Linked DNA regions of Canis lupus familiaris. The protein of the gene in region 1 interacts with the protein of each later gene in a biochemical or structural test. Links are inferred from orthologs where the notes say so. Each region holds a gene or a part of one and is shown on either strand. Other genes may lie near its edges.

What was found.
Region 2: the proteins of RRM1 (region 1) and RRM2 form a complex in vitro, tested with the Homo sapiens proteins (3 studies listed by BioGRID and IntAct). The link is inferred for Canis lupus familiaris from reciprocal best matches to the Homo sapiens genes RRM1 and RRM2.

The regions. Positions count from the first base shown.
Region 1 is NC_049242.1:26,733,809-26,750,143, forward strand, and holds the end of RRM1 (ribonucleoside-diphosphate reductase large subunit), read left to right. Parts: intron 1-917; coding exon 918-1,079; intron 1,080-1,674; coding exon 1,675-1,754; intron 1,755-2,415; coding exon 2,416-2,617; intron 2,618-5,661; coding exon 5,662-5,811; intron 5,812-6,013; coding exon 6,014-6,235; intron 6,236-8,160; coding exon 8,161-8,237; intron 8,238-11,012; coding exon 11,013-11,148; intron 11,149-11,995; coding exon 11,996-12,091; intron 12,092-13,163; coding exon 13,164-13,352; intron 13,353-15,388; coding exon 15,389-15,577; 3' UTR 15,578-16,022; downstream 16,023-16,335. UniProt on the Homo sapiens protein: Provides the precursors necessary for DNA synthesis. Catalyzes the biosynthesis of deoxyribonucleotides from the corresponding ribonucleotides.
Region 2 is NC_049238.1:7,110,765-7,126,025, reverse strand, and holds RRM2 (ribonucleoside-diphosphate reductase subunit M2), read right to left. Parts: upstream 13,512-15,261; 5' UTR 13,464-13,511; coding exon 13,353-13,463; intron 13,280-13,352; coding exon 13,205-13,279; intron 12,826-13,204; coding exon 12,682-12,825; intron 12,377-12,681; coding exon 12,260-12,376; intron 11,672-12,259; coding exon 11,538-11,671; intron 9,688-11,537; coding exon 9,593-9,687; intron 9,469-9,592; coding exon 9,335-9,468; intron 8,447-9,334; coding exon 8,342-8,446; intron 8,256-8,341; coding exon 8,142-8,255; intron 8,065-8,141; coding exon 7,912-8,064; 3' UTR 6,160-7,911; downstream 1-6,159. UniProt on the Homo sapiens protein: Provides the precursors necessary for DNA synthesis. Catalyzes the biosynthesis of deoxyribonucleotides from the corresponding ribonucleotides. Inhibits Wnt signaling.

The DNA.
Region 1 (16,335 bases):
GCACCTTTGATTAATTACCCCATCACTTCCACCTGTACATACTTCATCCCTGGTTCCAGGCAGCCAATTGTCTAGTCAGCTTTTATTTATTTACTTATTTTTATTTTTTTATTTTTTAAGTAGGCTCCATACCCAATGTGGGGCTTGAATTCATGACCTTGAGGATCAAGAGTCACATGCTCTACTGACTGAGCCAGCCAGGCACCCCCCAGTCAGCTTTTTTATATGACAGTTTGTTGGCAAAGAATTTCTAAAGTTGTGACTTCTATTAATACCTAACCTTGAAAAAGGGTTGTAATAGTCTTATAGCTTTCTCTTTAAAAAACAAAACCAAAACTCTGCCTATTTCACAGAGGGAGAAGTAAAGTTGAGAAAATAGGTTATTTACCCAGTGTTAACAGCAGAATAATTTGCAATTTGAGCCTGCCTCAGACAGATATGTAGGCACACTAATCACCTGTTAGTTTATATATTTCCATAGTTGGACTTTATTTATTTATTTATTTCCATTGATGGACTTTAAAAATGATCATTGGAGACCTTATTAAGACATCACTTTTTTATCTTTAATAAGAGCACAACTTAACTATTGTCAAGGTTAAAGTGATTTTCTGTGGGTTTTGCATACCTGTTATATAATGAAAAGTGAACTATATAGCAGCTGAAAAGGAAGTTCCGTCTATGGTTCACTGTGTTACTTTGAACAAATTATTTCATCTTGTTTTTATCAATTGGCTCTTTTTTACTCCCAGAATTATAAGAACAATATTACTACTTATATTTGTAGTATTTTTATTTGTATTATCTCATTTAATTCCTTAATTGTGAAGATCAAAGGAGATATAGAAGTGCTTTGGAAAATACAAAGTTTCTTTGATTCTGTTTCTGAAAAGAATGATGAACTTATTTGCCTTTAGCGACCTGGGGCATTTGCTATTTACCTGGAACCTTGGCATTTAGACATTTTTGAGTTTCTTGATTTAAAGAAGAACACGGGAAAGGAAGAACAGCGTGCCAGGGACCTTTTCTTTGCTCTTTGGATTCCAGATCTGTTCATGAAACGAGTGGAGACTAATCAGGTGAGAAATAGGTACCTTTTGGTAAGAACAACTTGATTCATATCAGCTTTCTTTTTTCATCAGCTTTCATCTTAAATCAAACTTAGGAAGAGCTCACCTATGTGTTATGCTACGGAAGGCACTTTAAAACAATTTAAGATATGGCATTCCTGCCCTCTTGGATTTTTATTCTCTAAAGCAGATGCTATCTGATCTAAAATACTTAAAGGGTCATGTAGAAATAGGCAGAACTAGGTGTTTGAGCCTGAGTCCAAAATGATTAATTCTATAGCAGATTCCCAAGAGAGTCTATGGAAGCCATCTTATCCCTTGCAGTATTCCTAATGGACTATGCAGTTGTTTTTTTTTTTTTTTTTTTTTTTTAAGATTTTATTTATTTATTCATGAGAAACACATTGAGGAGAGAGAGAGAGGCAGAGACGCAGGCAGAGGGAGAAGCAGTCTCCATGCAGGGAGCAGTCTCCATGCAGGGAGCCAACTTGATCCTGGGTCTCCAGGATCACGCCCCGGGCTGGAGGCAGCGCTAAACCGCTGAGCCACCCGGGCTGCCCTCAGTTGGTTATTTGAAGTCTCTTATGAGTTCTTCCCTTTGTAGGACTGGTCTTTGATGTGTCCAAATGAATGTCCTGGATTGGATGAGGTTTGGGGAGAGGAATTTGAAAAGCTATATGAAAGGTATGGTAAAAATATGAAAGTAATAATTTTTAACCATGTGTTTCTTTTATTTGGGGGATCCAAATTTCAAAACATCAGTCATTAGGCAGTTTCTAGGAATCTTCAGAAATATGCAGGAGAGAATGTAATTAATAATTTTATTTTGGTCAGATTTGCTACCTGAATCTTCACCAAAATTTGGTTTGTATCTTCCTTCTTAAAACTTTGGGACTTACTTTGGTGCTTTAGTTTTTAATCGATACTTATAAAAATGAAAGTAAAGGGTTATTTTGTTTTGTTATACAGTACATTTGATTGAATTAGTTATGCTTTATATTGCCCACAGAAACCAAGAACAGCTTGGACACGTGTCAGTAGTTCATTAAATAATAGCACAGTGGTAGATTTGACCACTTTAGATGTTATTCCTTCCTTAAGAACGGTATTGTTGATATAGTGGGATTTGAGTATATTCTAAATGGGTCCAAAGCTGCCTGATTTTCCTCTGTAGCTTTAGCCACAGTAAAATGAATATCCTATTCCTTTTCTTTCCCCTTCTCTCTTAGCAAAACATAGTAAACATTTAAGAGTTTTCATAATTTTATATCTTAGTGTCTTCAAGTTGTCTACAATAAAGATTTTCTTAGGGAATATTTAAAGTAATATTAGCTTTGCCTTTCAGTTATGAGAAACAGGGTCGTGTCCGCAAAGTTGTAAAAGCTCAACAGCTTTGGTATGCCATCATTGAGTCTCAGACAGAGACAGGTACCCCGTACATGCTCTACAAAGATTCCTGTAATCGGAAAAGCAACCAGCAGAACTTGGGAACGATCAAATGCAGCAACCTGTGCACAGAAATAGTAGAGTATACCAGCAAAGATGAGGTAGGTAGACAAACTTCTGCCCAAGTCCTGAGAGAATAATCTTAGGTAGTTATTATTTGTGAATCCCTCACTTGATTTCACTTGAGATGGGGGAAGGGAGTTTTCATAGTTTGCTGTAAGTAGAAGGCACTAAAATAGAGATGACAAAGGAAAGAACACGTGTGATCTGTGCCCTTAAATATCTTACAGTCTAAACCATGTGGAAAAGATTATCACTTTTTTCTTACACACACATTGTTGTAATAATCTTTTCTTAGTGTTCAGTTATGGTGGATTAAGACAAACACAAGAGAATATATCAGGATGTTCATTCAAATTAAAGTATGTAAATAGGTAGAGAGTCCATTCAGTAAATGGTGAGGTAAAATTCTAATCTCAAATCTTTAAAGCAATTCACAGAAGAGGCAAGGCTAGAAATAGGACATAGATTTGTTTTCTTTGTTTGCTTTTTAAAAAATATTGTATTTATTTATTTGAGATTGAGCATGAGCTAAGGAGCAGAGGGAAGGGGAGAAGAAGACTCCCCACTGAGCAGAGAGCTCAACACAAGGCTCGATCCCAGGACCTTGGGATCATGACCTGAGCCAAAGGCATATGCTTAACCAACTGAGCCACCCAGGCACACCAGTTGTTTTTTTTTTTGTTGTTGTTGTTTAATCTTATGAAAAAATTTTCCATTTGGGAAGAACAGCCTGTCAGATCTGAGACAGGAATAGGTTTTATGCAGAGAATGTCAAGTAAGTTTGTTTTGATGGAGCAAATACATTATGGTTTGGTATATGGAGAGATAGGCTATGGCTGGGGGAGGGGAGATAGTAGGTGAAATGTCTGGCATGTCACAGAGTAGAAAGCCCTCATAAGTTCCAAAAAGGAAAATAGCTTCAAAAGGCTGGGATGTGAAGGATAGTTCTTGTTTCTGGTAATAATTGAGTGTCTTGCTGTGAAAGGAAGTTGGAGGTTAGCTTATGGAGATTATTATAGTTTTTGGATGACAGGCTGCTTGGATGTTGGATGTAAACTTTGGAGATGAGGAAGAAAGAGCAGATACCATCTGCTAGGACCTAAAAAACATGACAAATGAAAAGTGGGGAAGAAAATGATTAAGTGAATTAAACATACTGCAGTTTAATTTAGCCAGAGGTAGTGAGCACTAGCTATAGGTAAGGCACTGTACCAGGTGCTCTGGGATGTAAATGATTATGGCTCAGGCCCTGCCCTTTAGAAACTTATAATTCATTATTGGAGAAAATATACCATACTCAAGTAACTATTGTACAGGATAGATTATGCTATAGAGACCCTCTTAAAACACAAATCAGACCATATCATTCCTCCACACAGCACTCCTCTTTGACTTTCCGTCCCATGCAGAGTTTGTTCATTCTTTTTTAAAATTGAAATATAATTCTCATACCATAAAATTCATCCTTCTAAGTGCACATATCAGTGTTTTTTAGTATATCTACAAGGTTGTGTAACCGTCATTAATATCTAATTCTAGAACACTTTCCATCAACACAGAAAGAAACCTTGTATCCATTAGCAGTAGCTTGCCAGTTGCCTTCCTTCCCCATCTCTGGCAACTCTTAATCTGTTTTCTGCCTCTGGATTTGCTTCTTGTGGACATTCTGTATAAACAGAATCATATAATATGATATGGTGGTCTGTTCTATCAGGCTTATTTCACTTAGCATGTTTTCAAGGCTTATCTGTGTTGTAATATGTATTGGTATTTTATTCATTTCCATCCAGAATTCCTACAGTGCTCTGAGTTCATGCACAACTGGGTATGCCCATCTCATCTACTGTTAGTTTCCTCCTTGCTCACTGTGCTCCCGCCCTATAATTTCCAGATATATCAAGTACACTCTGTCATCAGGATTTATGCTTTTACTTTGTTAAAATGCTCTCCCCCGCCAAATAGTCACATGGCTTGCCGTCTAACCTTTTCTTTTTTCTTTTCAAAGATTTTATTTATTTATTCATGAGACACACACACACACACAGAGGCAGAGACACAGGCAGAGAGAGAAGCAGGTTCCATGCCGGAAGCCCGACATGGGATTTGATCTTCGGTCTCCAGGATCAGGCCCTGGGCCGAAGGTGGCACTAAACCGCTGAGCCACCCCGGCTGCCCCTAGCTTTTCATTTCATTGTTCGTATGTCTCATTCTCAGTGAGGTCTTTCTTGTCAACTCTGTTTAAAAATGGCACTCCTTCTGTCCTTATTCCTAGAACCCTTTTGTCTTTTCCTGCCTTATTTCTCTCCCTTGCATTCATTAGACTTGTGTAGTCTGAGCTGTGCTTTAAACATGCATAACGTGCAGAATTGAGTAGGTACGATGAGCATGAGAGAGTCTAGTTGAGAGGAGTTGAGATTGTGGGTTAGGATAGTCATAATCAAAATGAAAAAGAAAGTGTATTCATTTAACATTATTAAGCATTTTTTATATACCAGATGTGATACTAGTACTAAAAAATATAAGGGTAAATGAAATACAATTCTTTCCTGGAAAAGTTTACCACCTAGTGTAGTGTAGTGGAAAATCACCTGAAGAGCTTTTTTAAAATTCACAAACTTGGATCCCCTGTTGTTAGGGGCTTATCAGAATCTCAGTGAGAGTAAGGGAGGATTGTATAATTTGGAAGACCTTTTTACAGTGATGGAAATGTATCTGGTAGTTACTGAGCACATGACTAGTGCAACTGAGAAACTGAATTTTTAATTTTTTTTAAATAACTATATATGACTAGTGGCTACTGTATTGGACAGCACACATCTACTGACAGACAGATACACGTAAGAAATTATAGCACGATGGGAGGTATGTCTGGACTATGGAACACAGATTCTCTGTCTTATCTATTTCACTGGTCCATGTTACAACTCACATGTGAATAGGTACTGGGATTTAGAAATGAATTATGAAGAGGTTGAAGATAAAGATAAAAATTTTATAGTGTTAGAGGCTTACATGATGTCATTGACACAGGGGGAAGAAATAAAAATTGTGTGATTCTTGACCCATTTTCATTGCATTCCAGGTTGCAGTCTGTAACTTGGCTTCCCTGGCCCTGAATATGTATGTTACATCAGAACACACATACGATTTTAAGAAGCTGGCTGAAGTCACCAAAGTCATTGTCCGAAACTTGAATAAAATTATTGATATTAACTATTACCCTGTCCCAGAGGTATGAATAGAGGTCTTTGCTTCTTGGTAATTATTGAAATTAAGTTGGAGGGAGTTTATAATGGTCTGCCAGTCATCATTTAAATGGCTATCATTGGAATGATGTGAGAAAACAGATAAAAAGAGAACATGTTATTATTTGGTATAGATTGTTGCCTCTCCTGTTCAATAATGTCTCCTTCTTTAAATCTCCTGGCACAAAGGCATGCTTATCAAATAAACGCCATCGCCCCATTGGAATTGGGGTACAAGGTCTGGCAGATGCTTTTATTCTGATGAGGTATCCTTTTGAGAGTCCAGAAGCCCAGCTACTGAATAAGCAAATCTTTGAAACCATTTATTATGGAGCCTTGGAGGCCAGCTGTGACCTGGCCAAGGAGCATGGGCCATATGAAACCTATGAAGGTTCTCCAGTCAGCAGAGGAGTAAGTATATGGATGAAATTTCTTTTTGCCTGTGAGTTCCTATAGTTGGCTGAATGGTAGTCTTCAAAAAGATATTCGCATCCTAATCTCTGGAACCTATGAATGTTACTTTTTTGGATTTAAAAAGGGTCTTTGCAGATGTAATTAAGGATTTTGAAGTGAGATTATCCTGGATTACCCCAGTGGGCCATAAATCCAGTGACAGTAGTCCTTGTGAGAGACAGAAGAGGAGGAGGCAACATGACCATGGAGGCAGAGGTGGGAGTAATGCATCTAGAACCCAAGAATGCCAGTAGCCACTAGAACTGAAAGAGCCAAAGAACAGAATCTCCTCTAGAGCCTGTGGAGGGAGTGTGGCCCTGCCAACATGTTCATTTTGGGCTTCTGGCTTCCAGAACTATGAGAGAATAAATTTTAGTTATTTTAAGCTGCCAAATTTATGGTGATTTGTTATACCAGCCATAAGAAACTAATATGGTACTTTTGCTCTCTAGAGTAAAAAGGATACTCTATTTTAATGTTTTTTTTTAAGATTTTATTTTATTGTATTATTTATTTTTAGATTTATTTATTTATTTGAGAGAGAAAGAGAGAACAAGCTGAGGGAAGAGCCAGAGAGAGAGGGAGAAGCAAACTCCCTTCTGAGCAGAGAGCCCCATGTGGGGCTCGATTCCAGGACCCCAGGATCATGACCTGAGCCAAAGGCAGATGCTTAACTGACTGAGCCACCCAGTTGCCCCAAGATTATATTTTTAAGTAATCTCTACACCTAACATGGAGCTTGAACTTACAACTCTGAGATCAAGAGTTGCATGCTTCACCCACTGAGCCAGCCAGACACTCCTTTATTTTAATGTTTTATTTAGAACTAGTCATTGGTAAAAGTGACTTAAGAAGAATACTAACTGTATTAGTTTTCTTTTGCTAAATTTAGTTAGATTAAAACAACATACATTATCTCTATTCCCTTGAGTCAAGGATGCAAGCTTGCCTAGCTGGGTTTTCTTAGGGTCTCACAAGGTTATACTAAAGCTGTTGATAGGACTATGGTCTCCTCTTGAGATCAGAGTCCTTTTTGAAGCTCATCTGGTTGTTGACAGAATTCATTTGTACTTGTAGAACCCATGACATTGTGCTTCTTCAAAGCCAGTAGGAGGGAGAATCTCTCATTTCAGGAAGGCCCCAGCCCAATTGCTCTTCTGAGGGTTTTCATCTGATATGTGAGGTCTACCCAGGATAATCTTTCTTTTCTTTAATCAAAATTAATTGATAAGTAACGTTAATTACACTTGCATAAACTTTTCACCTTTGCCATAATTATGTGAGTGACATCCACCACATTCCCAGTTCTTGTCCACACTCAGGAGGACATTGTACATGTCCTGGCACCAGGGAGTCAAAACTTGGAAACTGTCTTAGAATCTGCTTCCCACACTGCCTTCATTATTGGTAGTATGAGTCTCTTCAGTGTAAAATAAAATATTATGTTATTTTTAGTCCTGGTGTTCCTGCTGATATTTAGGAAATCTGATAACTAGTAGTTTGAAAACAGGTATTTAATAACTAAATAAATCAATCAAGGCAACTAAGAAAGATGGAATTTTTACTGTACAAAAAGAGAATGCATCTCAACAACATACTTACATGAATATTGGGATTTCCTGATTTGTAGATATAATACGGATCTTCTGAGGGCTCACAGCAGGGATTTGGGGAAAAGCTAAGGCTTTACCAGTTTTCTTAGCCTGCTTTTGATCAATATGACTGCATGAAAGTTTGTCCAGGGAAATCTTTGGACCTTTGGACAGTTCTACTAGAAGACATTTGTTGGGTTGTGGGGCATGGCAGATAGTCATTTGGTTTTTGTTATGGTTTCAAATTGTTATAGAGTGATTTATCATAAATTTGCATTGTTTGTTCTCTAGATCCTTCAGTATGATATGTGGAATGTTACTCCCACAGAACTATGGGACTGGAAACTTCTCAAGGAAAAGATTGCAAAGTAAGCAAAGAGATGTAAGGTAGCTTTGAAGTAAGGAGGGTTGGTTCTCATTCTGGCTTTCAGAAATTAGGCATGTTATTTAAACTTCTGAAACTCATTTTTTCTCTTTCAAATGGGGCTAAAATGACCTATCTACAGAACTATTTTTTTTATAAATTTATTTTTTATTGGTGTTCAATTTGCCAACATATAGAATAACATGCAGTGCTCATCCCGTCAAGTGCCCCCCTCAGTGCCCGCCACCCAGTCACCCCCACCCCCCACCCACCTCCCCTTCCACCACCCCTAGTTCGTTTCCCAGAGTTAGGAGTCTTTCATGTTCTGTCTCCCTTTCTGATATTTCCCACTCATTTTTTCTCCTTTCCCCTTTATTCCCTTTCACTATTTTTTATATTCCCCAAATGAATGAGACCATATAATGTTTGTCCTTCTCTGATTGACTTATTTCACTCAGCATAATACCCTCCAATTCCATCCATGTCGAAGCAAATGGTAGGTATTTGTTGTTTCTAATGACTGAGTAATATTCCATTGTATACATAGACCACGTCTTACAGGACTATTTCTGTAAAAATACTTTGTAAGATAAATGTATGAACAGTAACCTACAAATTGCTTGGTACAATGAAAGCATTTTTAAAAAAATATTTTATTTAAATTCAATTTGCCAACAAACAGTGTAACACCCAGTGCTCATCATCAAGTGCCCTCCTAGTTCCCCCATCCGCCCACCCTCATAAATGGTAGGTACTATTGTTAGCTGGTTATGTTTTAGGGGTTTAACTACCTGGATGAAGCAATTCTTTTTCTCATTAAACTTTCATATTTCCAAGTGTGCTTGCTTTTTATATGTTTTTCACTTTTATTTGTTGCTTAACTCTACTGGGCTCCTAAATGACTTTTGCTGAATTGATTGTCCTAGGAGTAAGTTAAGGATTTTGGAAGAGCTTTTGGAGTTTAATGTATTAAATTGTGTGGTAGAAAAATGTAAATCTTGAGGTTGTTAAGGCTTTTCAAATTAATAAACATAAAAGGTTTAAAGGTGGGAAAATGTTTTGCTTAGTGAATAATAAAACAAATTGTTTTTACTTTCTTCATGAGCCTATCCTCTCTGGGTTAATGCATATCCAAAGTGATGTGTACAGGAGGAAGCAGTTGCTTTTTGTCTTAAATTTGTTTATTTGCCTTTAAATTGTTTTATTACTAGGAAAAAAATGTTTTAAACTAGGAAAATGTATGTGTGAAAGGGAGAAAAATGAAAATTATCCCAGTACGACCTCCTCCTAAAAACCTGTTTATATCTTTGTCTTTCATTTTTCAGAATTTCTTCTGAATGTGTATATTTACATACAAATTCAACTTTTACAAAAAGACCTGTATTTTATTTTTTTTTCCAAATACTGTATAGATATTTTTCTATACATAACTTTTTAGCATTTCACAATTAATACATGAATAACAAAGTTCAAATATGGAAATAAAACAGAAGGTGAAAGTTCTTTTTAATCCTCTTGTGCCAACTACTTGTTCTACAAAACATAAGCCAACTTATTCCTTTTCCTAGAAATAAACATTTTCTAGACCTTTTTCAGTACATTTAGAGATGCACAGTTTTGTTTTAAAACTGTGATCAAACTTGACATATTCTAAGACTTTTAGTGATTTATTTTGGCCATCTTTTCTTCCTAGTACATGCAGATCTACCTAATGCTTTTAATGGTTACAGAGCATTCCATAGTTTGGTATGTCCTGTATAGATGACTTTTCAAAACATTTTCCTTTCTTTGGACAGGAAATCACTGTCCATTTTACTGAGGAAGAAAGACATGAAGTGAGTTGATCGTTTGCTTGATGCCTCAAAACTAGAAAGTGAGAAAGTGAGATTAAGATCTCAGTTGTATAGATTCCATTAGGATATGAAGCTTTAAGCTAAGTACTGTATAAATCCAGAGGTATAGAATATAAGAAAGATAAACTCTATGTTTGAGAAACTTAAGACTAAGTAAGGGTAAGACATGAAGTATAGGTAAAGTATATATATAAAGGTACAGGTCATAGAAAATGTTTGCAGGAGAAATATTTATAACTAGTACTTATTTTTAATATTGTCTACCTGGTCAGGAAGATGTTCCTAGAGTGGTCATCTCTTAGGCTGAGCTTTGAAGGATGAGCTAAGAGCAGTTTGAAGATTTCTCAGTGTTCAGATAGTATATTCTTCCCTAAGCACGTTCTTTGTCAGTGAGTAGAGTCAAAAGATGTTAACCTTCCTCTCTAGGAACTTATGATTGAAGAAGTAATAGAAGTCAGGAATATACTTTGAGCATAATTTTTCCCTTTGGAGAATTTTGGTGACATGTCCGATTCTGACCACTTTCACATCATTATGTTTCCTGAAAGGGCTTAGCACAGTGATCAAATGAGCACTTAGAAAACAATGAGGATTGAATGAATGTACCCTGATTAGGACTCTTCAACAGCCATTTGGTTATTTCCTTGGGGAAGCTAGTGTATCAAGTGCTAATAAGTCATAGTGTGATAAGAATCGCCAGCAGTAAAATTGTGCTAATTTTGTTTAGGAGTTTAGGAGAGGGGTGAGCTATATCATCCATACTGTGAAGTTGCGTCTCTATAGCGGTTAAATTCAAGTCATTATGTGAGTCTAATGCATGTATTATGTCACTCACAGCATCTGCATTTACCCCAGTGACTTAACTAGCTACCTTCCTGGCAGATTATAGCTTTAGTACCAACACCTAATAATCTCCTTTTCTTTAGGTATGGTGTAAGAAACAGTTTACTTATTGCCCCAATGCCTACTGCTTCAACTGCTCAGATTCTGGGAAATAATGAGTCCATTGAACCTTATACCAGCAACATCTATACTCGAAGAGTCTTATCAGGAGAATTTCAGGTGAGAAGATTACGACTGGACCTACAGGAGATCTTGCAAAAGCGTGATGTTAGGAGTAAATGCCAACTCATGTTTGGTATGTCTCTTTTGCTTAGTATGGGTGCAAAGCTTTGATACAGTGAGTCATCTTCATCTCCAATATTATTCTGTGTTATTTGATAATAGACATTCAATAAATATCTGTGAAAAGAATAAATGATTGAAGGTTGGGTAGAAAAGTAACTTCTTGATATTAGAGTTCACATATTTAACCATTATGTAATCATAATTATATGCACTGTAACTTCAGATGTTTAAGTCGATAATAACTCAAGATGTATATAGAAGCAAAAAGTATATGGAACCATGACAATTGTTTTCAGCCTTGTTTACAAATTAGAATTTCTGGTGGATAGGACCAGTGTTTTTTAATGTTCCCAGATAATTCTAATGTGCAACTAGGGTTAAGAACTACTAATTTAAAAGATTTTTATTTGTGAATTTCCAGATCTGAAATAAATTTCTTTAAGTTTGGAGTGGATACATTACTAATTTTTCTTAACTATTTATTGTATCCTTACTTGGGGGAGGGGGAATTAATCCCCATAGATTTACCCATTTTAGGCAATGCTAGTTCTTTTTACTTTTGCAAATATTATGTTTCTTGAATTACAGATCAAGATTTTAAAGGAATATAACTTTTGATTGGTAGGATGGGCCTCTCAGTCTTACAAGATAGAGAATTTACCGACTAATCTAATGTTAAATACTTCTTCAGTGATCTTATTTACTTTAAGCTCCAAGCCTGTGATCCTATTTAGGCCCTGTCATTCTTATTTATTCCTTGACATCTTGGTTTTTTATTCAGATTGTGAATCCTCACTTACTAAAGGATCTTACTGAGCGGGGCTTGTGGAATGAAGAGATGAAAAATCAGATTATTGCATGCAATGGTTCTATCCAGGTACAGAATGAAAATCATGTGTGTTCTTTAGAAGCTACATTGGTACCTTCTCACTTATCCCATGCAGTAGAGAGAAAGGTTATTCACTGTGGTCATTTAGGCTATGTTCACCTTTGCATTGTTGTGCTAGGATTATATACATCTTCACATAGCTAGGCTTTTACTGTCTTGTTTGTGCAATAATATAAAGCGTAGTTTCCAACTTCTCTGTACTTTAGAATCAGTGGGAGCTTTAAAAATTTTGAAGCTTAGGTTGTACTCCCAAACAAGTAAATTAGAATGTCTGGAAATGGGAGCCAGGCATTACTATTTTTTAAAGATGCCCTAGGTCATTCCAAAATGCATCAAAGTTTGGGGGACCACTGATATAAAGTGTGAAATTAGAAAGTTAAACTTAATTAAAAAGCAAAAGTGGAGACTGAAGACTCAAAGTCCGAAAAACAGAGCCACAGATATTGTTTAACAATAGAATATTTGCAGCAGAGAATCAAGAAGTATTTATATGTAGATGGAGCCCTCTGTCTAAACATTTGTTTCCTTGGCAAAACAGAGAAGGATTTCTCTAACATTTCTATATTTGCTGACAGAAATTGTAGCATTAGCTAGTTTGTATGTTTTGATGGCATATTAACCCTAGACCTAAGAAAACATTATTTCTATTGACTCCGAAACAGGTTCGTTTCATTGCTTCCATTGATTTTCTACTTGTGAGTTACAGTCCTGATTACTTGTGTTTTCTTTAAAACTCAAGGATCATTTGTTGCTGCTTAGCTCCATCTTTTATTAAGTACCTCTAAAACAATGAATGTTTTGACTATAATCCAAATAGAAATGGATCTTAAATCATTACCACCAGCCAGATACTTTGTTGGTTAAATGAGGTTTTGTTGGTCATTCCAAGGCAGAGGTGAGCAGTCTTGGGAAACTTGATAAGGATCATATTATATGATACTGAATGGTATGGTCAGATCTGGCAGGAAGAATTAAGGCCAGACCCTTGTGTCGTTAATTATGTTAATTATACTGATTTCTTCAGCCAGACTGTGATAAACATTTGGTTTTCCTTCTTCAGAGCATTCCAGAAATCCCTGATGACCTGAAGCAACTTTATAAGACTGTGTGGGAAATTTCCCAGAAAATCGTTCTTAAGATGGCAGCTGAAAGAGGCGCTTTCATTGATCAAAGCCAGTCTTTGAACATCCACATTGCTGAGCCTAACTATGGCAAACTCACCAGTATGCACTTCTATGGCTGGAAGCAGGTTGGTAGAGGAAATCAAGGAGGACTTGTTGCCTGCTTGGGATATTTTGGAATTGGAACAATACAAATTCCAAATACAATTTTGTATTCTAGCTACTTAATATTGCCATCTAGCAGTTCTTCCACTTCAAATCCAGTATGTTAAAACCAAATCATGGTTTTTGTACCAGATCAGGGGCTCACTTTGGATATCCTTGTTTCTTTTGGGATTATTTCATTCTTAGGTTTGAAACCTTGGAGTTACCTACACTTCTCCCCTTATTCTCCATACAATTACTCACTAAGTTGTGGTGGTTGTTCCTTTCTACTATTTCTTGAATATCTTTCTTCCTGTTCCATTGCCATTATTCTTAATTTCTTAACTGATCTCCCTGTTTCTGGTATCTGCTCCAGGCTGTCTTGTGCACTGCTATCATTTCTAAAGTAAAACTTTATGCCTATCAACCCACTATTCAAAAACATCCATTGTTTCCCCACTTTAACTATCTACAGTATAAATGCCAGTTACCTACCTTGGCATTGCCAGCTGTAAAGTCCTATAATCCTGTATTCTATCCTTTTTTACCTGGCAGTCTGCTGGGTATTTATATAGATGTATATATATTTTTTTAATTTAAGAGACATTTATTGAATACATCCTGTGTACTAAGACTGAGGATACCAAATAGAAGATATGATGATCTTTATCCTTGAAATAGTCATCATCTGTTCTTTATAGAGACGCAGTCTAGCTCCCTAAATAGTTAAAAAGCAGACATGTTGTCATAGGCAAACTTGGAAGTCATACACATAATACAAAACCTAGAGAACAAAAATATTTGACATTTCCAAAGAGGTAAGCTTTTTTAGGGATAAAAGGAATGTAATATACTGTCTCTTTTTTTTTTCTTTTTTAAGGAAGAGTGGACTTTTAAAAAAGTTTAAATTCAATTAATTAACATATAGTATACTATTAATTTCAGAGATAAAGATCAGTGATTCATCACTCTTATATAATACCCAGCACTCATTACATCATATGCCCTCCATCATCTAGTAACCCTATCCTCTCACCCGCCTCCTCTCTGGCAAACCTCAGTTTGTTTCCTGTGATGAAGAGTCTCTTATGGTTTGTTTCCTTTTCTGATTTCATCTTGTTATATTTTTCCCTCCTTTCTTCTATGATCCTCTGTGCTGTTTCTTAAATTCCACATATATGAGTCAGGTCATATAATTGTCTTTCTCTGATTAATTTATTTCACTTAGCATAATGCACTCTAGTTCCATCCATGTTGTTGCAAATGGCAGGATTTCATATTTTTTTGATGGCTGAGTACTATTCCAGTGTGTGTGTGTGTGTGTGTGTGTGTGTGTGTGTGTGTATCCATTCATCTGTTGATGGACATATGGGCTTTTTCATAATTTGGCTATTGTGGACATTGCTGCTATAAACATTGCCGTGCAGGTGCCCCTTCAGATCACTCCATTTGTATCTTTAGGGAAAATACCTAGTAGTGCAATTGCTGGGTTGTAGGGTAGCTCTTTTCAACTTTTTGAGTAACTTCCATACTATTTCCAGAGTGACTGCACAAGCTGGCATTCCCACCAAAAGTATAAGAAGGCTCCTCTTTCTCCTCATCCTTGCTAAAATCTGTTGTTTCCTGATTTGTTAATTTTAGCCATTTTGACCAGTGTGAAGTGGTATATAATATAGCCTTTTATCTGAGAAGACATTTACAAATATCTTCTTTCATTCTATTAGTTGTCTTTTGGTTTTGTTGACTGTTTTCTTTGCTGTGCAAAAGCTTTTTATCTTGATGAAGTCTCAATAGTTCATTTTTGCCTTTGTTTTCCTTGCCTTTGGAATACTGTTTGACTCTTCCTTTAAGCATTTTTGAGAAGGCTTCCTAGAGGAGTTGGAATTTCAAGTTTAGAAAACATTCTGACGTGGTTTATGGAAATGTATTTTAAACATTGGTCTTGAATGTCTAGTGTTCTTACAATTTTTTTTGTTTTGTATTCTTACAATTTCTGATAGTTGTATTTGCTTCCTTGTAGGGTTTGAAGACTGGGATGTATTACTTAAGGACACGACCAGCAGCAAATCCAATCCAGTTCACTCTAAATAAGGAGAAGCTGAAAGATAAGGAGAAGGCAACAAAAGAAGAAGAAGAGAAGGAAAGGAACACAGCAGCCATGGTGTGCTCTTTGGAGAATAGAGAGGAGTGTCTGATGTGTGGGTCCTGAGGAAAGGCTTAGAAGAGACCAGCACTTCTTCACAGACAAACTACTTCTTGAGCATAGATAGGCATTGTAGGTTTGTTTGAAGTGCTAAGGCTTTGCTGGATCTCATTGCAGCAAAAGGATCAGTCAATTTAAAGTACTGTTTCTATATAGTGTGAAAGTATTGATTTTAAAAATTGGTATTTTGGGAATCAAAGTAGAAGTTTTAGGAGTGCAAAACAAGTCACCTTGCAAATAAGGAATGATTGAGTAGGGTTTCATTGCCCACCTGGCACCCCTTTTCTGGTGACCTCAGTTTTCATAAGGAGACATGGTTTTGCTGCTTTGACTGGTGAGTCCATAGACGCAAAACTGAGTCCTAACCTGTGAGAAGTGCTGATAGGACCTTTCTCTGGATAAGGTCCTATAGGTCATTCTGAAATAAACATTTCTAAGTGATTGTGTGAGACCAAATTTGTCATTTATTTTCATACAAAGGTCAAATTTGGAAAAAAAAATTTCTGTTCTTTGAGAGTTCAGGGAAGAAATTTAAAAAAAAATTACTTAGATTCTGTGTTGAATTCTGATCTTAACATATGCCTATTTCCTCTTTTTATTGTGGTAAAATATACTTAACATAAATGTTACTGTTTTACCCACTTTAAAAAGCATACAATTTAGTGCCACTGAGTACATATATAATATACAACTATACCACTACTACCTATTTCCAGAAATTTTTTATCATCCCAAACATAAACTAAAGCAGTAATTCCTCATCT
Region 2 (15,261 bases), on another chromosome or scaffold:
TGGTGCCCGTCCTTGGCCTCTGCAGGAGAGGCTGCCCCCCCAGGTGGAGGAGAGGCACATTGCAAGCCACACACAGGTAGCTAGTTCCCAAGCCTTCTGGAAACAGCTGGAACCTTCCTGTTTTCCACCTTCAAGTTCAGTTACTGAGCCGGAGGTTCCAATTAGCTGTGTGATGTGTCACCCTCCACAGGCAGCCTTCGTAGGGCATTGCAGACTCTACAGGCGCACGACCTCGTTTGGGAGTCTCGAGCAGAGGTTGGGAGTGGCTCTCTGGGTCCAAAGCCTGTGCCTGTGATGACAGGCAAAACTCCCGCCCAGATAGGCCCCCTGGACCCCGTGACACTGGTTGAGGCAGCGCAGAACAAGGGGAGCGAGGACACGGTCCTTGCTGAGTAGAAGCCACTTCCTCAGGTCCGGAGTGGAGGCCTAGGGCTGGGGGCAGGACACCCAAGTTCCAGTCCTGGTTGGCTGCCATGTTTCTACCTGTGGTCCTCAGCAAGGCCCATGACCTCCCTGAGCCTCCTGAACACGGTTGTAAAATGGGCCTTGTCATCCATGTCCCCCTCTCCACCCCACCCCCCCACACCCACGAGGGGTGGTTGTGGATCCCATGAATTCAGAGCTGTGGCTTCTGTTTGGGTAGAACTTGGCTGCATGCGGCACAAACATCCTGATTCTATCAGGACTTTATTGGCTTACTTAAGTGAAAAGTCCGGGGAGTGGAATTCAGGCATGGCTGGATTCAGAAAATGAGCAAGGTCACGAAGACCTCGTCTTCTCTGAAGATCCGCAGACCAGCTCCCCTTTCCTGAGTATGGTTTCCTCTCTCAACAGGCCTGCCTTTCTGGCTGCCAGGTGGCCACAGCAGCCCCATCCCCTCAGCACCCAAAATGCCAAAGCCAAGGGTAAAAACAGTCTCCCTCTCCTCCCCAAACTTAACGCAAGTCCTAAGCCTCTGGTGGGTAAGAACAGAGCCCTCATCACATGGAGTCTGGAACAGCAGGGGCTATGGCCAGGGAGCTCTTGATCCTGGGCAGGTCAGTCAGTGGCCTGAGGGAAAAACCAGACTTTCCAAGGCCCTACTCAGTCCGAAAGCATCTAGCCAACACCAGGAGACACAACAGCTCTCCTCCCACCACCTCCACCCGATTCAGAGTGAGGAATGAAAGGCCTTCTGGGGTGCCTGGGTGGTTCATCGGTCCAACTCTTGGTTTCAGCTCAAGTCATGATCTCAGGGTCGTGAGACTGAGCCCTGGGCTCAGCAGGGTGTGTACTTGAAGATTCTCTCCTGCCCCTCTTCTCACTCACACACTCTTGCTCTAAAATAAATCTAAAAACAACAACAACAACAACAAAGGCCTTCTTTGGGTCACATGCAACCTTGGCCCTGATCCTATAAACATTCAGGTCAGGCTACACCCCACAAGGCTCAGCCCACCCAAACTGGGAGGGCCTGATGCACCCTCTCTGCAAGCCATGCCACCCACCACTATCCAGGCCCCAACTCCTTGCCCTATGTTACTGTTGCCCAAATGGTATCGGTTGCACCGTTCATGAACAGCCAGTAGGTTACATCTGCCCAACCCACACTGGGCCCCAGAACCCCACCCCGGTGCTCCTGCCCAGACACAGGACTAGGCACCTTCTCATGTCTGGAAGGAATGCAAAGGAAGACAGTCTGTAAAGGCTGGACTCCAGGTCTGAACTTCCAACCAACTGCATCTAAACTCAGAGGACTCTCTAAAATTGGCATAAAAGCAAACACAGGGACAATGCAACTAGAGAAGTTAAAAAAAAAAGTTACTAAAGAGGATTAGATTTGGGACACCTGGGTGGCTCAGCAGCAGTTGAGTGTCTGCCTTGGGCTCAGGGCATGACCCCGGGGTCCTGGGATGGAGTCCCCGCATCAGACTTTCTCCAGTAAGCCTTTCTGCCTTAAAGTCCTTTTTTTCTTATGACACAGGGTAGCCCAGGGCTTTCCCTCATCCTTCCCACCCCTTTGCATTACGTAACGTTCAGAAACAGCTTCTAGCTAGAGTTCTTTTCATCAAATCTTGAGTTTCTGTGATTTTAACTGGTCTACTCACATGAATTGGTCTTATTGATCTACCAAGCTTTCCATTGACTTCTCTTGCCTTTTTTTTTTCTATTAGACCGATCACCTTTTCACTCTGCCACCGCTTTGAAAGTGACACGCTCTGGTGTGTTCTTGTAAGAACTGTAGACTCGGGGATCCCTGGGTGGCACAGCGGTTTGGCGCCTGCCTTTGGCCCAGGGCGCGATCCTGGAGACCCGGGATCGAATCCCACATCAGGCTCCTGGTGCATGGAGCCTGCTTCTCCCTCTGCCTATGTCTCTGCGCCCCTCTCTCTCTCTCTCTCTCTGTGACTATCATAAATAAATAAAAAAAATAAAATTCTTTAAAAAAAAAAAAAAAGAACTGTAGACTTCACGTTATCTGGTGTTGAGCCTGCTGGCCTGCTCTTTTTTTTTTTTTTTTAATTTTTTATTTATTTATGATAGTCACAGAGAGAGAGAGAGAGGCAGAGACACAGGCAGAGGGAGAAGCAGGCTCCATGCACCGGGAGCCCGACGTGGGATTCAATCCCGGGTCTCCAGGATCGTGCCCCGGGCCAAAGGCAGGCACCAAACCGCTGCGCCACCCAGGGATCCCTGGCCTGCTCTTATTTACAGCACAGGGACCTGCTATATCGTCTAGTGTTCTGGGTCCACTTGATTTTATCAGTACTTAGATTCACTACCCGCTGACCTTTCTTCACTCACTGCCATCCTTTCTTTTGGTTCAATTTTCTCTGTAAAGTGTATTCTTTAGTCATTCTTTTGAAGAAGGGGTATGAATGAACTTTGTCTGAAGTCTCTCTTACTTTCAAATAAGTTTATTTTCTCAGCACTTAAAGATTTGGTCCCATAACCTTTTGGCTTCAACTGCAGTGCTGTTGAAAATTTTGCTTAATAATTACTCCTTTATAGATCTACCATTCCTGTAAACTTTAATGACATTTGTCCATATACTCTGCAGATTCACTATAAATGGGCCTAGATATGGATATTTTTAAGACTTTATTTATTCATGAGAGACACAGAGGGGCAGAGACACAGGCAGAGGGAGAAGCAGGTTCTTTTTTTTTTGGGGGAGAAGCAGGTTCCACGCAGGGAACCCGACATGGGACTCGATGATCCTGGGTCTCCAGGATCACACCTGAAGGCAGCGCTAAACCGCTGAGCCACCCAGGCTGCCCTGGATTTATTTTCATTGGGATTCCTTGCACTTTTTGATTGAGTCACTTCTAGAAAATCATCAGTCATCATCTCTTTAAATATTAGCTATCCAGTCCCTCAGGAACACTTTGTTTAAAAATAACATGCGCCCCCCCCTTCCATCATCCACATCTCCCTCCCATCTACTTCTCAGTAATCCCTCAGGTCCCTTCCCATCAATACACCCTCAGCTGTGTCTCCTCTTACTAAGCATCTTTCTTTTTTTAAACTCCAAGACCTTTAATTCCAGTAATTTTGCTATATTCCAAAAACTGTAGCAAGTTTTTAAAAAATCATCCCATTTCTTTAGAATATTGTTCTTTGGGTTTTCATTTTTCCCCCCTGAACCCATTATATCATCATGTATCATCTTAATTTTAAGTTTCTGGATTTTTAAAAATATTTATTTTTAGAAAGAGGGTGTGGGTAGGAGGGCCAGAGGGAGAGACTCTCAAGCACTCTCCATTGAGCACAGAGCCCAACCAGGGGCTCGCTCTCAGGACCCCGGAGATCATGACCTGAGCCAAAATCAGGAGTTGGACCCTTAACCAACTGAGCCACCCAGGTGCCAGTTTCTGGATTTTCATACCTGTGGTTCCTACAATCATGTGGTTTCCTCCTGTGTTTTAAAATTGGCAAGGATGAACACCATCTGTGAGAATCACATGCACCCAGGTTGGGCTGACATATGTTTCTAGACCACAAACTTGTGAGTGGTACAGGCCTGGGGTTGTGACTTTGGAGTCCAGGAAAACGAATACGTTTATCCCCCCTACCCCTACCCCATGGGATTATCTCCTAGCCCCACTTCACTAGGGGTCCTGGCTTGATAGCAGGTTCTGGCTCTAGCTCCTCCACTAATAGAGGTCAATCTCTCCCCTCCAGATCCAATAGGTGTTTGGTCCCTCACCCCCCAATTTCTCTAAGGGAGGAAGAACTACCCTCCCAGAGCTGCAATGAGCCTGTTTTCCCAGTCCCGGTCTGTTCCCGGCATCAGAAAATTGCCCTTTCTTAGGAAATCATTACCCACTTAACTTTTATGATGACTGGCCAAGTTTTTAAAACTGGGGGTGGGTGTCCAGGTCACCTCAGTTTGCTCTCTTGCTGGAACCACCAGTACTTAGAGGCAGGCCAAGGGGTCTGTGGTCCCTGAACCTTACATCCACAGTGGGTTTAGCCACTCATCAGAAAACATCCTGATGTGAGGATCCCCTGCAGGGAACAAGGGCCATCACGGATCACACTCTCAAGTGCCCAGAGTACACCAGGGAGGTAGCCTCCTCTACAGAAGCAGAGTCGGGGGGAGAGAGATGATGGGGTGTGGGGTATGCTATCAGCCTTCTCTGGGTCCAACAGGCCAAGCCATACAATCCTACTCTCTCAAAAGCCAAAGCAGTTCCCCGGGGAGCTGCAACCATATTGCTATGCAGAATTAAACCACTATTAGGATCTCCAGGCCAATGGTGGCAGAGCTCTTCATCCTCAATGGCACACATAAACAGCCAGTCAGCAACCTAGCCAGATGGCCTTAATACCCATCCAGTTCCAGCTCCACAAGAAGCCGGTCATCAGCTCAGATCACAGGCCACGGCGAGCAGACAATTCTGACTCCGTGGCCTAACCACTTAACTGATGCAGGTCCTCTAGGTGAAGTATGAGAAGTGTGTTCTAGAGTGGGCAGCTGGCACAGGTGGCCCACAGGGAAGCTGTTTTAAGTTGATCCTGAGAGCATGGCTGCCCAGAACACCCCATTGGGCCTGCCACCACCCTGATCTTACACATCCAATGACATTAGAGTGCCCTTGGGGTATGAAGGCAACAATCTCAGGTTCGTCCAAGACACAGAACACACCTGCTCCCAAGACCTCACCCACCCCAAAATACTCAGCTCAAATTAATTTCTCATTCACCAGGGCCCAATCCTAGGAGCCTTTATGCTAAGACACAGGTAAGGACCTGAATGTGCCTTCTACAGGAGCCTTGGCAGGAAGACCAGGAAGAGAATCTGGAGGACCAGTCCCCACCTCCCTCCTCCTCCTCCACAGAGAAACAAGATCACCCCCCAACACAAGCTTCTCCTAATGCTCCCATCCACCTCAAGTTCTCGGCTATGCCTTCCCTGCCCTGGCTCATGGTCTAACCGAGTCACTCACACCTCAGCTTCCTCCTTGGGAACCTAAGCTGCAGAGGGCTGGCTAGGTTCCCTGCCACCTCTCCTATGCTTCAGAACAGTGCCTGATGGGGCAGCTGTGGTCACACACATACCTGCAGATTTCAAGTGGCAGGATAGACAAGGTCATGAGTTCAGAAAGGCTTTAGGAAGGTAGGCCAGGAAAAGCCATTCATAGACAGAGGGACTAATCCCAGCCCACCAAGAAGTCCACGCAGCTCAATTTGGTGAGGAAGAGCAAAGCGAGGAAGACCCACCCACATCATGTAACAAGATAGGAAAACTGAGGCCGAGCAGCAGCTCACCCACGGATGTTGGGAATTTAAGCCCCCTCTATCCTGACTTACAGACTCCGTGGGCAGCATAGGGAATGCTTTTGACCATCACCTCTCAGGCACCCCTTCTCCTATAGACCTTATGCCAGAACAGGGATCAGAAGTCCCCTCCTCAAAATGGATGAAAAGCAAATAAACTCAAATCTTCAGGAAAAGTATTTTTCTTCCTAAACTGAAATGCGAATTAATTTATCAAGGAACGGACATAAGAACAGCTCATTTAATCCCAGTGCAGTATTCAATTTTGAGACTTTGAAACGCTTGACTAAAACCTGCTTCCCTCTAAACGGCTTAGGAAACGGAATCGGAGTTGGCAAAAATTAATCCTCACGTTACGCACCAAAGGGAGGCAGGATCTGAAAATCTGCTTCCGACTTCCGTCTGCACCCGACACGCGAGGCAAAAACGTTTATTCACCTTTGTGTTGCACAAGGGTAAGAACCACATTATCTAGATTCACTTCAGGTAACAATAATTTAAAAGACAGCCACCGTTACAGAAATTTTTAAATTGACTATTTGACAATTTATACAATAAATGAAGAAAACTGACAAAAAAACAGGTCAGTGATCACCCAACACAAAAAGACAGGTTAACAAATGTGGCCAAAGGATCAGTGCGTATCATCCACCACCTTCTCGTAACCTCCTGGCTGGGTTTTTTGTTTTTTTTTCTTTTTTTTTTTTTTTGATGGGGAGGGAGAAAGCAGGGGTAACACAAAGACAGGTTGATTCAAACTAATCCTATTAAGTATATTATTTTATACTTCTTTCTAAAATTACTGTGTGAACAGAACCTGTATTAATATAGCTCATGCAACTCTAGTTTTCTACTGCAGGTCAGGAATCCAACAAGGTAATGCTCAGATTGAGGCAAAAGCTGGAAGTAAGTGCCCTGAAGACTATCTGCTCCAATCATGAACTGCACTAACTGAGCAATTATTTCAAAATATGAACCAGATATAAAAGAACAAAAAAACAGAAGAAATATCTAATTGAAAAAACATGTAGTAGACACAAATGGATTAGGTCAACATTACCTACTTACAAATTAGACCAAATCAGAGAAAATGCTCAACTTTCCGGGGAGCCAATTTCAGTTCTGGTTGTGCCACTTAATTGGAGCAAGATCCTAAGCGGGTCAATTCGTGCAAGGATTGATTTCAAAATCAATTTACAATATTATCTCAGACCCTACAGCTAAGGATCTAAGGATCTTCTTTCTATAAGAACTCAAGGTGGGGGAAAATGTGGTTTGAGAAATAAAAGGATGCTGATCCTCGCACACCCCCAGGCGACCAGCAGTCAGCCTACATCACACTTCAAGCTCTAATGATTTAATTGGAACCTCCTTTCCCCTCTTATCCACAATACTTGACCTGGCCTCCAAAATATAAAACACAACCTGCGTTTCTTCATGGCACCAAGTGGCTAATACCTAGGTATATGAAGGATTGACTTTAAAGTTGATTAAAGAGAACATCAATTCATTATAGAAAATAAACAGAAATAACATGCTTGATTCACACAGGTTTGATGGACTTTTTGGTTACCTAGTAAATTGCAAACTGGCTCCCATTAGTGGTCAATAGAATGCTCTGCATTTGGGCTAGAAACCAGATTAAGTTAAATCAAGCCTTTATTTCAACAGTACAAACTATGTTTATTTGTGTGTAAAGTGCCAGTTTTATATAAAAATCGGTACGTAAACTTAAAAATCTGCTTTGAAGCACAGAGGCTGACACCGCCCGAGGGCCTTAGACTAACTAATTAATCGTGCTAGATCAGACTCACTTGAGTCCCCACACTTTTGAGACCTGACTGCCACCAAGAGCCACTGTGAAGTCAGTGGACAGCCAGCCTGCCCGCAAAAGCCAAACACGGCCAATATCTTTCATTAAGAATCCGAGTAGCTTTTTGTCTATGCTTCTTTCTGGGTGAGACGACTAGCATTAACTGATCAACAGGCTTGCTTATGAGGTAGCTACACAGTTTTAACAATACTATTAATGAACGTTATGGATGATTCATGGTGTAGCTGGTTTGATACACTTCAAGTAGCTGATTTTTTTTTTTTTTGATGAGAAAGGGAAAAAAAAAAATCAGCAAAGAGCACATCTTCATTCACTTAGAAGTCAGCATCCAAGGTAAACGAATTCTCTGTTGGACTTGACATCACTCCCATCCTCTGATACTCGCCTACTCTCTTCTCAAAGAAGTTAGTCTTCCCTTCCAGTGAAATATTCTCCATAAAGTCAAATGGATTTTCTACTCTGAAAACCTGAAAAGGTTCACAGGAAAATTTAAATACAGAACAGCAGTTTCAGGAGAACCAGAAGGCTATAAACAATACTGTACCTTGCTAAAACCGAGCTCCAGCATAAGTCGGTCTGCCACGAATTCAATATACTGCTTCATTAACGTGCAATTCATCCCAATGAGCTTCACTGGCAAAGCCTCCGTGAGGAACTCCTAGGGATCGAAACGCAGCTTCTCAATAGAACAGAAGCATAAAGACCTCTTCTGGTGAGCACAAGAGACCCTCCTGTATCACCCACCTGTTCTATCCTAACGGCATTGATAATTATTTCCTTCACCCTCTGCTCTGAAGGTTTGTGGACCAGGTGTTTGAACATCAGGCAGGCAAAGTCACAGTGTAAACCCTAGAAGAAAAGGTTTAAGATCACTATAAAACCAGACGTCTATCGTTAACGTGAAACAGGAAATGGCTTTACCCTTTTCTGCATTCTCCTCATATGTCTCATGCGAACATACTAAAAGCACTTAAAACTGTCAAAGGGAAAAGGATTTCAACTGCCATCTGCTCTGTGTAGGTCACGGCAGGTTCAGCCTTATCCCAAGGCCCTCAACACTGCTACCCAGGGCAATGACAGCAGGCCAAGTCTGTTCCCTGCTGCCCCATACAGGAGCACAGGACAGGGTAGGACTTCAGCTCAAAGCATTTTTTTCTACATCCGTGAGCTCTCATTTTGCCACTATTCCCAGCAGTGACTAGGCTGCTTTGAGATTGACTTGGCTGGTTTTGAGATTTACAACCTAATGGTCAGGAAATCAGTGATGCAACTGCCAGTGAATGGAGTCTACAAGTCTTAGTGCCAAGTAACCCTGATGTTCCTAGATCAGAAGGAAGAACTTACAAAGCAAGATCAACTTATTGGTCACTGGGCTCCAAGCATGACAGGGTCTGTGGCTCTGGCTTTGCCAACTAGAATCAAATGAGAGCATCTAGACATCTTCGCCTTTCCCTCCAGCTTAATCCAAGTGCAGTCAAAGACAGGACACTGGACCAGAAGGATTCTCACTTCCTTTAGGATGCTTATCGACCAACTTTGGAGCACAGTAGGCTCATACAGGAGACTGGACGAGTATTGAGAATACAAGTACTTTCAATATATTTCATGTTCTACCAAGCCCAGATATGGCTGAATTCATGTTCAATGTGGACATGAGGCAACATTTTATCGAGTTCCCTTCAGTGAACCAAAGAGTTGTAGATGTTTGGGGTGCACATTAGCCTGAATTAGACTCACCTCATCTCTGCTAATAAGTTCATTGGAAAACGTGAGGCCAGGCATCAGGCCCCGTTTCTTGAGCCAGAATATTGACGCAAAAGAACCCGAAAAGAAGATTCCTTCCACGGCAGCAAAGGCCACAACCCGTTCTCCTGTGAAGAGTTAACACCGACATGGTTCCGGTGAGCAACCGTACATGTGCACAGGAAGGGCCAACAAACCATGATGTCACTTAGAGGATGAAACTCAGGCATCCGTGGGGCCAAGTGGCCTTACCATAGGTAGCTTCTTTGTCCCCAATCCAACGCAAGGCCCAATCTGCCTTCTTCTTTACACAAGGCATCGTCTCAATGGCGTTGAAGAGAAATTCCCTAGGAGACACCCAGAATATCAGCAATTACAGCAAAGACTTCCTACCACAAACATGTAGAGAACACTGGGACCAAGGCGAAATTGAGACTCAAAACTGAAATGTTTTCTCATTACCTTTTTTGCTTCCCACCCCCCACCAAGTGTTCTTTTTAAAATCCCAACATTCATTTGGCTCCTGTTAATACCAAAATAGGTATTCTTTACTTCACAAGGAGCCCTGAGATCTACTAACCTTAAAAGTCTTAGTCCATTACACCAAGAACATTTATCGGCTTTTATTATATCAAGTCCAGGTCATGACAAAGTTCACAGGCCCTATCTTTAAACTTGAGAAGCCATAAAATCTTAACTGCTAAGACTATTTAAGCTACGCTGACCATTATCTTCCTAGGTAGCACCATCTTCACTAATCATATCGGGCTAATTATATAGGCCCCAAATGCCATATGGATATAATAAAATAATTAAAGCCAATAAACCGAATAATCTGAGCTTGCTTCCTACTTATAAGTCTATACTTACACTGATGATCCCAGATCAGGAAAGTAAATCAACTGTCCCCCCGACTTGCCTAGTTCTTCCTTATTATCCTCTTCCGCCTTCTGTGCCCAGCTTGGGAGTCTAGATTCCCCAGCCTGTCCCTTTATCAGGTGACCTTGTCTTCTGAACCCAAGGTCATTAGAGCAACCACATTGCTCTCTTCATTCTCTTTCCATGTCGACATCCTGAGACCAGGGTCTGCCTCTCCCTAGCTTTTGAACCACCAGACCCTCCTGATCCTACTGCCCATTCTGTTTATTTATCTCAGTCAGGCCTACGTTTATCCTTCCTCATTTCGGTCTATAAACTTGTCTCCCGAAGCCTGCCAGCCCTTCCAAGCCACCACTCATTTTTCCCCTTCACATTATTCCAGATAAGCCACAAGAGCCTACTTTACAGCTCTATCACTTCTGTACCACGCAGGACTCTCATCCTGAAGTTGACCTTGGTATCTAGACCACTCACACGGCCATTTCTAACTTTCTCCTCCTCTCCAATCTGGAAAATGTAAAACTGGCCTCAAGCTACCTTGATTTCTCCTCTGTGATCCCATAATGCAAACCCATCTCCTCACACAGTCCTGTGCCTAAACTCATCTATCAGTAAACTGCTGCCTTTGCTTCACTCTAGAATCTCTCTCTTAAACTTATTTTCTGTACCACATTACAAGGTCTTTAAGAGGAAAAGTAACGTTCTATTTGGATGTGTCCTCTATTCCCCTCCACTTTGCCCCAGCTTCTCGTTTGAGGTTAACAGATTTGCACATGAGTAAAAACTGTCAGACCTAGGATTTCCTTCATCGTACAGCCTCTATGGATGTGTTTTGTTTTGGAAGAAAGACACTGGATTCAATGACCAACAGTATACTCCCATCTCTAAAAATGGAGTAACCTCATGACTTTTTTTTTTTAAGATTTTATTAAAAAAAAAAAAAAAGATTTTATTTATTTATTCATGGGAGACACAGAGAGAGATGCAGCAGAACACAGGCAGAGGGAGAAACAGGCTCCATGCAGGGAGCCCAATACAGGACCCGATCCCGGAAACCTCAGATCATGTCCTGAGCTGATGGCAGACGCTCAACAACTGACCCATCCAGGTGTCCCTCATGACTTGTTTTTAAGTGACTGGCTAATAAAGTGAGTTTAGGCCTCTTCCTCAGAGCACACAGGACGAGGGGCAGTAGAAACTGCCTTGTCTGCCTGCCTAGTCACTTGGAATCCTTCTACCCCTATGTAACCGCGAAAAGTTGAAATATTTTAACAATTAGTGAATCCTGAACACGTTGGCAGACCACCCAAATACTCACCTTTCTTTGGAATCTTTAATATAAGTGTCAATGAGGAGACTATACATCTCAGAGTGGATGTTTTCCATGGCAATTTGGAAGCCATAGAAACAGCGGGCTTCCGTAATCTGAACTTCTTGGCTAAACCGCTCCACCTAGTGGTAAAACACATCACAATTCAGCTCCAGGAACATCCACTCAGGATCCTGGATACATCACACTCCCTTTGCAGTATTATAAGGTTTGTTTCTATTTTTAGAAACAATACGTTTTCACTATTCTGGGGTAAAGCTGGACATTTTATGCCAAAATTTTACCTCAATTTACAGATCAGGAAACAGATAAGGTCTATTTTATAGGGATTATGCAAACATTCTTCATTTCTTCCTAGTCCACTGCAGGAAGGAACCACTCACAATAAGACATATATGGAATCAAATTTTTTTAAAAAAGCAAAGCCACAAAAAAGAAACAATGTCATAGTCATAAGGAGTAAACCTATTCCTACCACTTGACATTGTCTTTAAGCTTCTTGAGCCCGGAGGGGGGACAATGACTAACCCTAAAGAAGAAACAACTGCAAAGTAGATTATAAAACAGGAAACACCATGTAATAGAACTACCAGCTTACAAATACAGAACTTAAAAAGATGAGGAAAGAGGATTAGTTTTTTTCTGGAATGACTTGGCCCGTTTCTTTAATCTGGAAGCGAACGAAAGCAGATGTTTTTTTGGAAACTCACCAAGTTTTCATTTACTATGCCATCGCTCGCTGCAAAGAAAGCCAGAACATGGGATATAAAATATCTCTCCTCAGGCTTCAGGGATTCCCAGTGCTGAATGTCCTTGGAAAGATCCACCTGAGGTTTAAGAGGTTCACAAGGGACGGTAAGCATGTGGGGCCGTACACACACATACCTAACCCTTAGACCTTCTTCTGTTAAGTGTCCTGACACCACTTGATCGGGAACATCCCTCCCATGCTCAGCTCCCTTTGCCACTTAGAACGTCTCACATCCTCAGTGGGCAACCATCCCCAAGAGGGGCAAGAGGAAGAGTTAAGTATATTTCAAGCAAGTTGCATCCACTCCTGCAGGGGGCTTCCTCTGGGGGCAACGCTTACTACACTTAACCTTGTAGGGCCCCAGCTCCTGCCTCGGGTTACCTCTTCGGCTGTCCAAAAGGAAGCCTCCGCTTTCTTATACATCTGCCAAATATCATGGTACTCGATAGGGAAGATGACAAAGCGACGGGGGTTTTCTCTCAGCAGTGGTTCCTCCTCCGCGCTGGGGGCAAGTACCTTAGTTTTCTGTGGGGGTGAGAAAGTAATGAAATGTCTCTGGTAGGGCGAACCACATGAAATCGCCACTTTTTGCGGCCCAGCGCGTTCAGTTACCGGCAATCCCGTGTGGTTCGGCGTGTCAAGTGTCGGCTGTCACACACGGCATGGTACAGAGAACACAACCGGGGTGCAAGAGGGGAAAGGGGGGAGTGTGCGCAAGTGTGAGGAAGGGCAGACAGGAGCGGGAGGGAATGCCTTGGCGGGAAAGGAGCGCGGGCCGGGGAGTGGCTGGGTTAGAAACGCAGGGGAGACAATGAGGCTTTGGCGCCAACAGGCGGCGGGCGCCCCCTGCCGGCAGCGCCCCGCCCGCACAGGCCGCTTCCCCGCCGGCCGCCCCGCCACTCACCGGCTCGGCGGGCTCCTGGAAGATCCTCCGGGCGGTCTTGCTGGCCAGCACGCGGGTGCCGCTGAGGGCCGGGGGCTGCGGGGAGACGCGCGGTGAGGGGCAGCCCCAGCCCTCAGGTCCCCGCCCCCGGGCCCGCGCGCGCGCTCACCGTGTTCTCCTTGTCCGCCAGGCTGAGCCCCTTGAGGGGCGAGAGCTGGAGCTGCTGCTGCTGCTGCTGGGGGTCCGCGATGGTGGCGAGCGGGACGCGGACGGAGAGCATGGCGGCGGCAGGCGGGCTCGGCGGCGGCGGCGGCGCAGGTCCGGGGAGCCCCCGCGCCGCCGGGCCGGCCTTTAAAAGCCCACCGCCGAGGGGCGCGCGCGGTGGGCGTGGCCAGGCGCCGCCTTCCCATTGGATGCGCCGCCGGACGTCCGCGATTCGAGAGCCGCGCGGGAGCCCCCGCCGCCGGCCGCCCCGGACCCTGCGCGACCCCTCGGGGACCCCCGGGACCCCCGGGACCCCCGGGCCCGCCCACCGCGCGAGGGGCGCCGCCGCCCGGCCCCTGCGGGCCCCCGCCCGGGCGAAGGGTGCAGCCCCCGCGCGATTCGGTGGCCGTGGCGCGCGCGGGACTCGCCTACCCGGGAACCGCTCGGGATTGAATGAAGCAACGCGATTGGAGGCCGCCCGGGAGCGGGCGGGAGACCATTCCCCCACCCCTGAACCGTTTTCGCGGGTTGAGGCGAGTGGTTTTGCAAATGAGGTTGGTGCAAATGCCTGGAAACGCCCCTGGCTGCGAGAGACGAGCGCGGGGTTGCGACCGTTTAGGTACGTGTCTCTGGGTGGGGGGTTAGGGGTCCTCGAGTTCCGGCTGACCTGGCGGCCGGAGGGTCGGCGACAACCGTGCTGCCTAACGGTTAGGGTCGCTGGCCACGGAGTCCCGCAGTGCAGTTGCTGTGTCCCTCACCTGGTTGTAAAACATTCCTTGCCCTCCTTGGTAAAATGGGACTTGTCGCCCGACCTAACCTGTGGGATCATTAATAAAATGAGATCAGTGCGATAATTCTGGTAAAAATGCACAGTCCTTTGTAAAGCCGAGTTAACTAAATGCCAGAGAGGGCCTTTGGTACAGTTTGCCCCTGAACTTGTGCCTGGTGTCAGACCACCTTCCCCTGTGTCAGCATTTTTAAAAATCAGAAGCTGAGCAAAAACATCTTGAAAGCTTGAAGAACTGGGAATTCATCTACTGCTTATTGGGCATCAAGTAGTCTGAAGAGATTGAAAACCTGCATTGTCATGAGGCAGACACGAATTCATTAACAGTTTTTGTTTTACTTTGTATTTGGTTTTTCAGATTTGCCAGACATTTGCCGTGCAAGTGGCAAAATGCCAGAAGTGAAGAGAAAGAAATGTTAATAACCAAGAAATAAATGATTCCCCTGTGAAAAGTTCCAAAATCTGCAAACACTCTTAGGGCTGTCACTAAGAGAAACACTGGACTTTTTACAGGGTCTTTTCTAGATATTATAAAGAGGTCAGAGGTAGGGAAGATCCCCCTCCTCACTTGGGTCTGTTTCTTCCATTTCTTAGTACCACGTACATACTGTGTTTAATGTATTCTCAAGCCTCAGAGAAAGATCAGTGACGATCCTAGCCCTTAGACAAAGCAGTAACTAAAACTTTGGTCTAGCATCCTTAGTTTTAAAGCAACTCGCAGGCATTGTCAATGCCACCTTCCTTCAGCATCCAGCTCCAGAAAAATGGGTATTGTTAGAGATGATTTTATGGCTGATAAAGCCATTATCACATCTAATAAATGTATCAAGGATGCCCTGGTATCCTCCACTACCCAACTCACATTCCGATTTCGCATCATCCATAACCGAAGTGCTCCTTTCGGTTGCTGTCTCGGGCACCATGTGCTTTTTGCTTAGCTCCTGTTATATACTCTGTATGTACAGGAACCCATGAAAGTATCACTCTGTGAGCCAGCCAGAATTTGACTTCGTTCTTAGCTTCACTTTTTCCTGACTCCCCAAACAACACGGGTGCACTGTAGAAAACTGGGAAAGACCAGAAGTAG